Danio rerio: one gene and its partners. The protein of the gene in region 1 interacts with the protein of each later gene in a pairwise test. Links are inferred from orthologs where the notes say so. Each region holds a gene or a part of one and is shown on either strand. Other genes may lie near its edges.

The links.
Region 2: the proteins of sp4 (region 1) and nrf1 interact in binary tests that used the Homo sapiens proteins (3 or more experiments, as listed by UniProt). The two-hybrid records come from large-scale screens. The link is inferred for Danio rerio from reciprocal best matches to the Homo sapiens genes SP4 and NRF1.
Region 3: the proteins of sp4 (region 1) and foxp2 interact in a two-hybrid assay, tested with the Homo sapiens proteins (2 studies listed by BioGRID). The link is inferred for Danio rerio from reciprocal best matches to the Homo sapiens genes SP4 and FOXP2.

Annotation. Positions count from the first base shown.
Region 1 is NC_133194.1:2,839,229-2,843,630, reverse strand, and holds the start of sp4 (transcription factor Sp4), read right to left. Parts: upstream 2,801-4,402; 5' UTR 2,556-2,800; coding exon 2,531-2,555; intron 1-2,530. UniProt on the Homo sapiens protein: Binds to GT and GC boxes promoters elements. Probable transcriptional activator.
Region 2 is NC_133179.1:15,683,872-15,688,034, reverse strand, and holds the start of nrf1 (nuclear respiratory factor 1), read left to right. Parts: upstream 1-1,326; 5' UTR 1,327-1,421; intron 1,422-3,450; 5' UTR 3,451-3,477; coding exon 3,478-3,700; intron 3,701-4,163. UniProt on the Homo sapiens protein: Transcription factor that activates the expression of the EIF2S1 (EIF2-alpha) gene. Links the transcriptional modulation of key metabolic genes to cellular growth and development.
Region 3 is NC_133179.1:7,038,355-7,042,612, forward strand, and holds the start of foxp2 (forkhead box protein P2), read right to left. Parts: upstream 2,838-4,258; 5' UTR 2,552-2,837; intron 1,675-2,551; coding exon of another isoform or gene 1,610-1,674; exon of another isoform or gene 1,183-1,609; intron 1-1,182. UniProt on the Homo sapiens protein: Transcriptional repressor that may play a role in the specification and differentiation of lung epithelium. May also play a role in developing neural, gastrointestinal and cardiovascular tissues.

The DNA of each region.
Region 1 (4,402 bases):
GGATTCTGTTTTTGTCTTACCTGATTGCTGGAACTGCTCTTCTGGACTCTAAACCGATCGCCATGGTCAACTCCTCTCTGCATCTTGAGCCTGCCGACGTACACGGTGAGCTGAGTGGACAAACGGGTTGCAGCGGGGAAGCAGGAGGGAAACAGCGTCACACCGCGCCGCAGCGTTCGCTTGAAAAAAATAAACGCGGCCGTACGTACCTGCCAGGACGTATTCCACTGTCTCCAGAAACGTCCACGGGACTACGTTTTCAGAATGAGCTTGGGTTGGATAATGTTTTATAACTCTCTGAAACTCACTCTTTTAGGGCTTGACGCCATTTCCTTTCGCGTTAACCAGCTGACCGATTACCTCTGTCCAGTGGCTCGCCTTGTACGCTGGTGGACCTGAGATGCAGAGAGTAGTTGACTGCGATTACGAGGTTCAAGTCTGGTGAAGAATGCTTACAGAAAGCAGGTAAAACAAAAACAGAAGCCAAAAATAAAATAAACAAGTTAATAACAGGGCGAGAATGTGGTCAAATCTGAAAATGTGGTAAAATCAGGCGGCCGTGAGGGCTTTTCTGTTTCTGCATTGCCTTTGAAAACACTGTCGGTTGGGTTTAGGGAAGAGGGTGATTGGGTCAATCGGTGCTTTTAAAAACACTCTCAGTTGGGTTCAGGAAAGGGGGTGAGTGGGATTATTTGTCGATCAGTCAGTCAGTCAGTCGACAGCGGCCTCTAGTAAATTTACGTGAGAACAGCAGGTGCGAGAGAAAATTAAGATTTAGCTGGGCCCCTATATGACAACATTTCTAGGATGTCGCGAATGTAAGTGAAAAGCTGGGTGTGGGGATGGGGGGTTGTCGCAAACAAAGTGAAGGGGGAGGGGTGCGGTGTTGCGGACGAAATTGAAGAGGGGAGTGGGAGGTGTCGCAGACAAAAGTGAAGAGCTGCAAACTGCAAAAAAAAAAAAAAAAAAAGTACCTCCATTTCGCTATCTCCAGAAATGTGTATACAGGGGTACGTATCAACAATGAGGTTTTGTTTTTTGGTTTATTGTTTTATTATTATTAATTCTAGCTCATTCTTGTTAAAGTTTAAAACGTGACTCTTTGTTTTCAAACAATGTTTTATATTTCCTTATAGTTTTCATTAGTATTTTTTATGCTCACACAAACAATATTAAAAGTTTAAATTTTTTTTTTCAAATAAATATAATACAAAAATGAAATAAAAATAAATTAAATAAATATAAAAATACAACTACTAATAAAAGCGAATATTGTAAATCATTATTATAGCACAAAATAATTATTATAACATAATATTATTACAATTAAAATAATGATCAGAAATCATTTTTATATGCTGATTTGAGTCTATTTTTTATATTATAATCAGTGTTAAAGTTGCGTTAAATAAATGCATTTTTTACCTTTAATTATTATAAATAATATTTGCTCAAGCTTGTTAAACCTTAAACTGTTTTATATTTTCTTACAGTTTTTATTAGTATTCTTTTATGTTTACACAAACATTATCATTAAACATTTTCATGTTTTTTTCAAATAAATATTATAAATATATATAAAATAAAAAAATATAACACAATAAGAATAAAACAAATAATGAAATAATGAAAACTAAAACCAGTAATATTGTAAATAATTCTTATAATTATGCAAAATATTATTATAATTAAAATAATGATCAGAAATCATTCTAATTTGTTGATTTGAGCCTAATTTCAAAATTAAACTTTTGCAATTTTTATTAAATAAATGCTTTTTTAAACTTTCTATTATAAATTTTAACACATTTAGCTGAAGCTTGTTAAAGTTTAAAACGTGGCTTTTCAACAATATTTTATATTTTCTTACTGTTTTTGTTAGTATTTTCTTATGTTTACACAAACAGTACCACTAAAAATAAATATTATACATATATCGAAAATAAAATAAACATAATACAATAAGCATAAATAAAATAAATATAGCTATTAATGAAAATTGAAAACCAGTAATATTGTAAATTTTTATTATTCATTCATTTTCCTTCAGCTTAGTCCCTTATTTATCAGGGGTCACCACAGCGAAACGAACCACCAACTATTCTGGCATATGTTTTACACAGGCGATGCCCTTCCAGGGGCAACCCAGTACTGTGAAAAATCATTATAACAGCCATGCATAATATTATTTTAATTAAAATAACGATCAGAAATCATTCAAATATGCTAATTTGAGCTTCATTTCATGTTATAATCAGTGTTAAAAGTCGTATGTTTATGCAATGCGGTGTTTGTGTGTCTTTATGTGTGTGTGTGCCTCTGTATATGTGCATCTGTGCGTGTGTATCTCTCTATTTGTGTATGTGCGTGTCTGTAATTTATTTTTATTTACATTTATTTTGAGGATTCTTTGATGTATAGAAAGTTCAAGAACAGCAGTGTTCGGTATCTCACCCTGAAATTTGCAATCCCGAGCAGCTTTAAATGCAGATTATATATGCACGAAATCAAAACACAGCAAAATCCGAACCTTCTTCATCTCTGCTCGTCTTCATTCCTGCGACTGAAGTGTAGACTGAGGCACACAAAGGCTTTCGGGCCCCCAGCAGGGCGGACGGGCCATCATTAACCCCTCACAGCAGGCCTCACGGGGCACACACAGACACACACATCTCCAGCATTGTGCCGGAGCGCTGGTGACAGAGCAAGTGCAGTGGTGTCCTGTGTGCCCCATGCTGGCATCTCAATCCACCACCAACCATGAAGAAGCCACACACATCTACAGAAGACTTCTCTGAACCTGCAGATAAACGCACAATAATGAACAATCATGATTACGTCACAATAATGTATAGCTTTAACCCTTGCGTACTGTGCAAATTGACTACCCTTTGGTTATGTTGGGGGCTATTTTTGCCCCATTGACTTTCATTATAATGACTTTTTTATTGCAAAGGCATGACAGCATTTAATCATAGAATCTTGATTGTTGGTGTTTTACCCTGTTGGGAAGAGGTTAAGTGTGTCATTTGTTCTGTTGATCATCAGCTGGCAGCATTAACCCTTTAGATAGGCCTGCATAAACAAGTGTATGGCTGTTATATGGAGTTCAGTGAAGTAAAACAGCAGATTATAGTGTGTGTGTGCAGAAATACACTTACTGTGTTTACTGTGTTCTGAGAGCTGAGCAGCTTATTTAGATTTATGTCAAGATAAGTGCGCAAATATCTCTCCTTCTCACAGACATTTAGCTTTTCTGTCATCTGCTTTTTAACACCCAGCCGAGAGACTTAGGGCCCTATCATACACCCGGCGCAGTGTGGCGCAAGGCGCAGTGCAATACTTGTTTGGTAGTTTCAGCTTGGTGCAAGAGTGGTTTTGATGCGTTGCGCTACGCTGTTTAAATAGCAAATGCATTAGCGCTCATATGTGCGCCCATAGGCGTTCTGGTCTAAAAAGGAAGGCGTTCTGAGGTGGACCGCTGACGCGTTGCTATTTTGAGAATCTATAATAGATTTTTCATTAGACCAAAACTAACCCGGTCTAAACTCCAGCGCAGAGTTGCGCCTAGCTTACACACTGCTTAATACACACAAGAGAGCAATAGGCAAATATCTTTACATATGAAAAAATTCAATATTAAGGATATATATAGGATATAATAAGAATAGATATAGAATATAAATATAAAGGATTAAAATATTACAAAACATATTATTTTCTAGCCTACATAAATATGAAAAATCACTGCTTTAATGTTTTCTTCATCTCGGGAGGCTTTTTCAGTTCATTCATAACAATTTGCTTTTGTATAATGTTATTGTTATTAGCAGTATTATTTATTATATCCATATTTATATTTGTTTTATTAAAAACAGGCTTAGATTTGCCCACACGTCAGGTTTTAGATCATATTGTTCATTTATTCGTTTGCTGGAAATTAGAACTGAATTTAGAAATAGTTTTGAAACGAATATTTGCGCTTAACAAACAAAATTATTTATTTATAGACTAATTGATGTCTGTGCGTAAAGGTTTCCCTATCCAAGAGCGAAAGTGAAAGTAGATCCATTATCTCTCATTCTCACGCAGTAGATGCTCTGTTTAACAGTTTTCTGTTAAAAAACTGTGAACTGTGAACTGTTTGCTTGTGAAATGCTCAGTTTTTCCACTTAGACTTACTTTGCGTCCTGTAAATAGTGAATGCGCTCTTGGCGTGACGCAGCTGACTCTTAAAGGGAATGGGAGATGAGACTGTAATTGGTTTATTCTCAAAACACACCTATAACTCATTAAGAAAATAAACTCAACCCTTTTAGACCATGCGCCACGGCGCAAAGCGGATTTTCCCGTCCTTAATTTAGCAAAAATGCGTCCTGACATGCCCTGAAAGCATTTGCGC
Region 2 (4,163 bases), on another chromosome or scaffold:
TATTATATTATATTATATTATATTATATTATTTTATCATGTTTCCTTTTAACAGAAAATAAATATGACAAAGCAATATATATATATATATATATATATATATATATATATATATATATATATATATATATATATATATATATATATATATATATATATATATATGCGCACATAATTTTGCCATAAAAACAATAAATTAAATAAAAATATTAAAAATTAAATAAAAACATTAAACATTATTTGTGAGAAATTATTTTGTAATTAAACACAAACCTGTTTTCAAACTTTGGCTCAGGAACCCCAGTGAGCCACAAGAGATTACTATAGTGGTCTGTGAAAAAAAATATGAAAAAAGCATTGAAATAAATAAAATATACTAATCAAACAAATTCATAAAAGTAATATTCAGTTAAAATAATAACACTGTGGCACTGTGGCTCAGTGACTCGCCTCACAGCAAGAAGGTCACTGGTTTGAGTCCTGGCTGGGTCAGTAGGCATTTCTATGTGGATGGCATTTCTTCCCATGTTTGCATGGATTTCCTCTGTGTTGCTCCGTTTCACCCACAGTTCAAAGGCATGCAGTAGGTGAATTTAATTATAAATTGGCCATAGTGTATCTGCTTGAATGAGTGTGTATGGATGTTTCCGTGTACTGGGTTGCAGCTGGAAGGGCATCTGCTGTGTAAAACATATGCTGGATAAGTTGGTGGTTCATGTGGTGACCCCAGATCAATATAGGAAAATGAATGAATAAATAAAAATTACAAACACAAAGATTAAGTAAAATTTTGAAAAACCTAAACTTGTAAAAGAATAAACGAATGAACATATGAATAAAACAAATGAAATGCTGTAAATGCAGTATGGGCAATTATAATGCAAAGGAAAGATATAATAATGTAACTTTATCTAATTTAAATATTTTCCAATGGACATTTTAGACTAATTGATAATATAGTTCTTTAATAAGTGATAAATTAGGCCTTTATTCAAACATCTATAACCTTTAAAGCTTTTTTAAATTATACATTTTAGCTTAGAGGTGTTTTGTATAGTCTGTTGCGACTCAAAAACTTTATATATGAAATCTTTCTATATCTAATTACATATAATTATCATATTGTTATTAATATTATTGTTAAAAACAAAAAAAAATCGGTGCCATGGAAATGTCGCATTCCCACACCCATTCCCTCACTCTCTGTGAGTGTAGTGTGCACTTGCTGCTGCTGCATCACGTAGTAGTGTGTAGCACGAGAGGGAGGGGCGGGGTTTGTTCTGTGCACTTCGCTCGTGACCGCGCATCAGTCGCTGAGCCCAGGACGCGCGCACTCTGCTGCTCGTTCTTTGTCCTCCATTGCAGCTGGTGTTCACAGCTCCGCCGCACCGCGCAGGCCCGAAGTAGCGCAGCCGCTCTGAGGTTAGTGCCCTACCGCGCAATCTCCAGCCATTTCAGCCCTGGCGCAGCCGCACCAAACAACCCGGCAGCGTTTGCCTTTCACACACTCAGATGCAGATCGCGACGATGCGAAACAGAACTGCAGATGATTTCGAGCACTTTTGCCCGGATGGCAATTATTATTTACCCCGCTCAATTTGGGGCAAAAAAAGAATCATGGCGCAGGCGCGGGCCTTTGGCCTAACGTACTGAATTTAGATGTGCAATCGAATCGCTTATGTTTTTTGTCCAGATGCTAAATGGGATTTCAGTGCTTGATAGCTTGTGTCTATATGCTCGATCGCGGAATCGGATTTTGAATGCATGTATTATATCGCATTAGCTTAGCAATGTTATCGATCAGTCGAGTGTTTATATCGCTTTATTCTCAGTCAACAACGGTGCTCGCTTACATTTTATCTAAAAGAGCATTTTAGATGTTTAGCGCTTATCTCAATGATTGTGATCATTAAGAAGTTGAATGGGCGACAGTGTTTAATATTTTACCAACACACTGTCCCATTTCTTTACAGTAATATTTATTCACCATTTGAAAATAACCGCCATTTATGTGTTTGTTATTAATGCTCTAATACACCGGTCTGTATCGCTTCAGATATATTCAAACCTACCTTTTATTATGGCCGTTTATGTTTGTTGAAATGTTCTTTGGTATAATATATTAATGTTTTTTTTAATGATATGGTCATTAAAAGTACCTATTCCAGTGTTTGAGGTCGCTGAATTGAGCAGAATGAATTAGCTGCGTTAGCTTCTGGTTTACGTTATTTATCTTACGTTACGTGTGCACGTTATATACTAACGTTACATTCATAGCACATACGTTTTATTTAATTATTTTACATATGCTTTCGGTCTTAATTTAAACGATTAAAAAAACTATAAATAATATTGATTAGAAAGTTGTAATATGTTTGAACTACACTCCTTGCTGTCAGAGACTTCAATATTTTATTATTCAATAAAAACTTTAAAAAAGGTTTTTATTCTGTGTCGTTCAGTTTGTGTGTCATCTAAAAAACAAAATAACTTCTGGGTGTAAATAATCCTGATGTATTTTTTTTTAATGATTGCACATTGCAAAACTGTACTGATCGTGTATATATGCAGTTAACAACATTAAAAAAAATTGCTAATTATTTTAGGTGAATGCTAGGATGTCAGTATGTCTTACTCCATCTATATTTGCCAAACATTACTGTTTGTATATAAATAAAAAGTTAAATATAAGGGGGACGTATATTGATTTCAAGTAATCTTTTGTGCCCCCTACTGGATTGATTGTTTAAAACAATAATAATATTGAAGTCTGTGAAAATAAAATATACATTTACAACTTAGTTCATACACAATTGTACATTTGGTGATGAAAATAAACAATATTAAAGTTTATTTTTAGCTGAAACCAATGTTTTTGTCTATTGTCTATAGTATCAATTGATCATATACTAGTTACTAAACAGGCAAAACTAAATGAATACCTGTCGCTAATCACAAAACATTATGTTTTAAGAAGTAAAAGGAACCAGTTTTCTGTATTTATGTTCTCCATCCGTGCCTGATCCTATTTAAATTATGCTCCGTTTTAACCATAGTGTATTGTTAGCAGCCAAAGGGGATTCATTTAATTAACCAAATGTTTTAGCTTGATTTCGGACACATTTTGTCATTGCCCATTTCACCTGTATTGACCCAAAGTGAAATGTTTTGTTGTGCTGTTTTAATATACAAAACACATGAATCGCAATCGCGTCATATTAACGGTATACATTATAATAGGGATTCACAGTATATATTTATTAGTAAAATGCGAGTTTGTTATTATAATATAATGCAACGTGTCTCATATTTTATGTGTATTTTAAATGAAAATACAAATTACAATGCATGCCTAACACTTCACAACATACTCAGTTTGACACTTGAATACAACTATGAACGCAAGTCAATCTGTGTGCTAATATCTTGTTTGTGTGTGTGCGTGTCTCAGTGTGTTTGAGTGAAACTGTATCGGGTGATGGAAGACCATACGGTGCATCAGACGGAGCATATGACCACTATCGAGGCCCACGCCGTCTCTCAGCAGGTCGGGCAGGTGCACGTCGCCACATACACAGAGCATGGCATGCTGAGCGCCGACGAGGATTCGCCCTCCTCGCCTGACGATGATGCTTATGATGACTCCGACATCCTCAATTCAACTGGAACAGATGAAGTCACCGCACATCTGGCTGCTGCTGGTAGATTTCTGCACATGCTGCCTCTTATGAAAATTTACTTGTTTGAGTTAGTCTAATATATCATGCATCACAGATTCTGGGTTGAAAGGCTCAATCAGATGCCAAAAGCGAACAAATGGTACTAACACACACAAATATATTGTTGAAAGTCATATCCATGGTTATTCTCTGATGGTCAGACAGTGATTTCTCTTTTGTGATTGGCTAAAATATTGGTGTGTGGGATGCAGCAAATTCAGACACTAATGACTATTGACTTTAATAAATGATATGACTAAACTGGTCATAAATAGCAGCACAGTGACTGCTAGTGATTAGACAGACCACTAGATGGTGCACTTAAACCATAAATAGTCCTATAATGGGCTATATGCACACAGACTTTTAATATTCAGCTTGCCAGCCCTAGAGATTTCAGTCTTTCCATTACAAAATTGGCGCAATTAAGATCTGATTTCTTTAA
Region 3 (4,258 bases), on another chromosome or scaffold:
TGATGGCAAATGACTAGCAGATGCCACATAAATAATAAATATAGTAACAAACAATGAAACCTTCCAATTACATGGAAAAAAGTAATGAGGAAAAGCACTACAAACATATTTAACACAAAGTCATGCACACTGTCAAAAATGCAGGGTTCCACACAATTCAGTAATGTGGACCCAACACAAATCGATTAAGTTAACTTAACACTTTTAACAAATTAATGTGGATTGAACATAAAAACATTAAGTTGTCCCAATTGTGTTGTTTCAGCTCATTTTAATCAAGTAGTTTAAACGAGCAAAAACACAGCTTTTTTTGAGTGTATGTTACATCTTATTGTAATGTCAAAGACAACTTTTTATTTTTATTCTTAAGCCCTAAAATAGTTTAGTTAGCTTTGTCATTGTTGCTTTTAGCAATTACTGAAAGATGCAATACCAGTGTACCCAACATTTCTTTCAATATGAACAAAAGCATAACCTACAAGAATTCAACACATGGGTTAATGCATCACTTGTACAATGTTAACATTAAACACATCTAATCTATGCTTTTTAAGGTTGTTTGCCTTTCTTAAAACCCCCTAAAACAGTTTTGGCTGGTCAATAGTGATTGCAATATGGAAAAGTGAAAGATTAACTTTAGCGATTGCCAACAATAAAACATTTCCCCCTAATAAAAGCATATGAATAAAAGCATGACCTATAACTATTCACACTGCTCATTGCTGTCACATGAGCTAACCTTTGTCTTTCTGAGGTTGCCTTTATTATTTTTTTGTCATCAGCACTGACTTCAAGATTCAATATGAAATAATTAAAAAGAGTAACTTGAGATGTCTAACAATGAAACGGTCCCACCCACATTACACAGTGTTCAACTTGCAGTGCTATCATAACTCAGACAAATGATTTTATTTTACTTGACGCACATGCATTCATCTCAAAAGGTTTTTTTTTTAATGCAAAGCAGAGCGTGCACACACCCCATCCCATGATGAATGCCGTAATCAGGCTGCGACTACAAAAAAACATTGGGATACTTGGAAATTAGGCCCCTCTTTCCTGTCGCAGGTCAGCCGTGCCTCCCTCCTTCCCTCCCTCAGTGTGTCGTACGTGAAACATCACGCTCCAAACACTGCTCGTTGAAACAGTGCTAATTAAAATCACCTGGGAAGAACTGCGTGGGGCTAACAAAGGGCCGGGCTTCACGTTACAGAGCAAAGTGTGTTCGCGTGTGTGTGAAAATTTTTACTACTGCTATCGCGGCCTCTTTGAAGAGCCACGGCGTTGAGTGATGAAGCAGCATGATGCACACCTGCACTTCACCTGCACAGCTGCCGGAGTGAAACTGAGGTGCTCCTGCAACCAACACCAGGGGAAAAAAAAAAATCTCATAGCTAATCACTGCCATAATGGGAGCTGTAATACTATACACCTTGTATTTAAAGAAAAAAAAAAAAGACAAAGATCACCTACCCTATTGATTTAGTCCCACATCCCTTGAAGCCACTGAAAGTGCACTGGCAGTAGATGTGGCTGAGGCTTAAGAGGAGAGCTGTCCATTAACACTCCAATACATCAGCCTTCCTGTCCTGACACTCACTGCTCCTGCATGCGAGCAGCTCTAAAGCTAGGAAGAATTCACCCCGGATTATGGGAATGGAGCAAGCAACCACGGTAAGATTAATGTTACCCTTGATAATAATAATAATAATAATAATAATAATAATAATAAAAACAATGATAATAAAAATCAGAAATAATATTCATTTATTTATTTATTTATTATATGAATTACTAAATGCAAACATATTTAGGACATATTTATTATTTTTAATATTTATGCATTTTAGAATTTTTATTTCAAATGCGCATATATGTATGTATGTATGTGTATATATATATATATATATATATATATATATATATATATATATATATATATATATATAGTTACAATAGAGATATAGATATATAGACATCATGGTTAAAAATCTAAATTTCTTGCAAAATTAAAAACAGGGCAAATCTAAAATTCCATACATGATAATAAATACCCAAAATTGCATTAAAATAAATAAAACTTTGAAAACGGTCTTGAAATATGAAATCTGTAACTGTACAGAGATGCAAACGCCTTGAAATTTGAGTAATAATACTAATAATGAATCGTGCATATTTACATTTCATGACTCAGGCTAAAATCACTAGTGTTAAAACAGACATTAATTGTGTTATTATTTGCTATTACTACAGTATATAATAACAATAACAAATCGCGTGTTTAAATCACCCCAAATTTACTCAAATAAAACAGCTATGCAAACACAACAAAAGTGAATCCGCATTATTCACTCGCATAAATGAAATCCTCCCAAACTGTCACTTGATGTAAATATTGATTATGAGGATTTATGAGTCCTCGGCAACTCTCAAACAACACACCTCGCTGTCAAAACAACAAATAAAGCACTAAATAAGCCATCTGCAACTTCTAAGTGCACTCAAACTCAGACGCCGAGTGCATAAAAAAGCCATAAACGTGAAAACTCACCAAAAGAAGTCAATGTATCTCCTTCGGGGATGCAAAGTTTTGCGTGTTTACGAGTCGGAGTGTTTTTAAAAAGCGCTGAAAACAAACGCACAACACGCGCTGTTGATATTCCTCCGCTCGGAGTGCAGAGACGCTGCTGTCTTCAGTCAGTGTGTGCTGCTGTTATTACCGATGCAACAGTAAAAAAAAAAAACGCCCGAGTAACACCGACTCCTGTTTGAATGCGCTTGCATGACGCGCAACGCGAAGCGGCGGCTTGTTTTTTTGTATCTTGATTCAATACATCGCAATGTATCGGCCGAGTTTGGTGGTGGTGGGGAGGACTAGCTTATTACAATGCGGGGAGGCACTTACGCGGACGTGCATGTTGTTATTTTTTAGCGTACTGCGACCCCACGTGACGTCGTGTCCACCTGCTGGGTAAACAATGCAGTCATTAAAAGTTAACGGAGTTTGTTTTTGTTTATTGCCATTGCAAAACACACCCAAATCAAGAAAGACAAGCCGGTTTCATTCGCTGGAGAGATGTGTGTACGAGTCTGAAGTCATTTTTATTTTGATTATGACATATTTGTATTGTTATGCTACTGTTATTTATTGATATGGCGAAATCCGAAATTATACTCGTGATTAAATGAATAAAGGGAATAAGTATTGTGTTTGTTTACACGAATAACAAATAAATAACGTTGTACTTTTAAATAGTTTATACAAATCTGAAGACGAGCGAAGTGGAAGGATGTTCAGAATAACAGAGATGGGGTCAAATGTTTGGTGTTGCTTTATTTTATTTTTCCATAATTCGAAATCAACTTAATTCAATGTTTATTTTAACACATTTATTAAATTTTACTTTATATTAAATTAATCAGCATTCTTAAACACCTCACACACTCGCAGTTCACTGAAATGAACCTCGAAATTAAATCATCAGTACTTTTATTATTGATTTTGATGATATATTAGTCATTTTAATGATGATCTGCTACTGTAACAATATTTGCTTGTGTGCGTTTTCCCCATTTATGTTTTAATTGCAAAACAATTGAAGGTTATACTGTATAGTGAGTTATGCATCGTGTGTGTACTGTCTGTGTGTGTGTGTGTGCCACTGCCTTGAAATATTGATATTAATAAAGGAGATTTCAGATCAAAGATTGATATGAAATGTCTTGCTTTTTGTGATTTAATTATCACAGTCTGTGACTGAATTAATAGTCTTTATTTTATTTTCCAAGCAAGCACCGTCTGCTTTAACATAATGATAGTTTTAAAAAAAGATAGGAATATATATTTTACATTAAATCAACACTTATAAAAATGCATATATAAATGAGTCAATATTGAAGATTTTGACATGGTTTTATGTGAACATTTTAACACTTTTCAAATCTGATAACAAATATCCGTCAGATATCCGCAGAGACTTTTTTCATTGATCAGAAAGAACATATTTGATGCGTTTTGATGTTCACCTATGTTTAAAATATATGCTATGTATCTTAAAGCCTGCTATTTAAATAAATATTTTAATCCAGAATTAAAAAATAATAAAATTGTGGTGTTTGTCACGAAGAAATGAATGAGAAACGTGTGCATTTTTTATAGGAAACTAAGAAAAAGAAGATGATTTTGGGAAACGGGTCATGGCATGAAATATAGGGGTTTGCTGCCACCTATTGGGATATGAACAATCTACACTTATTT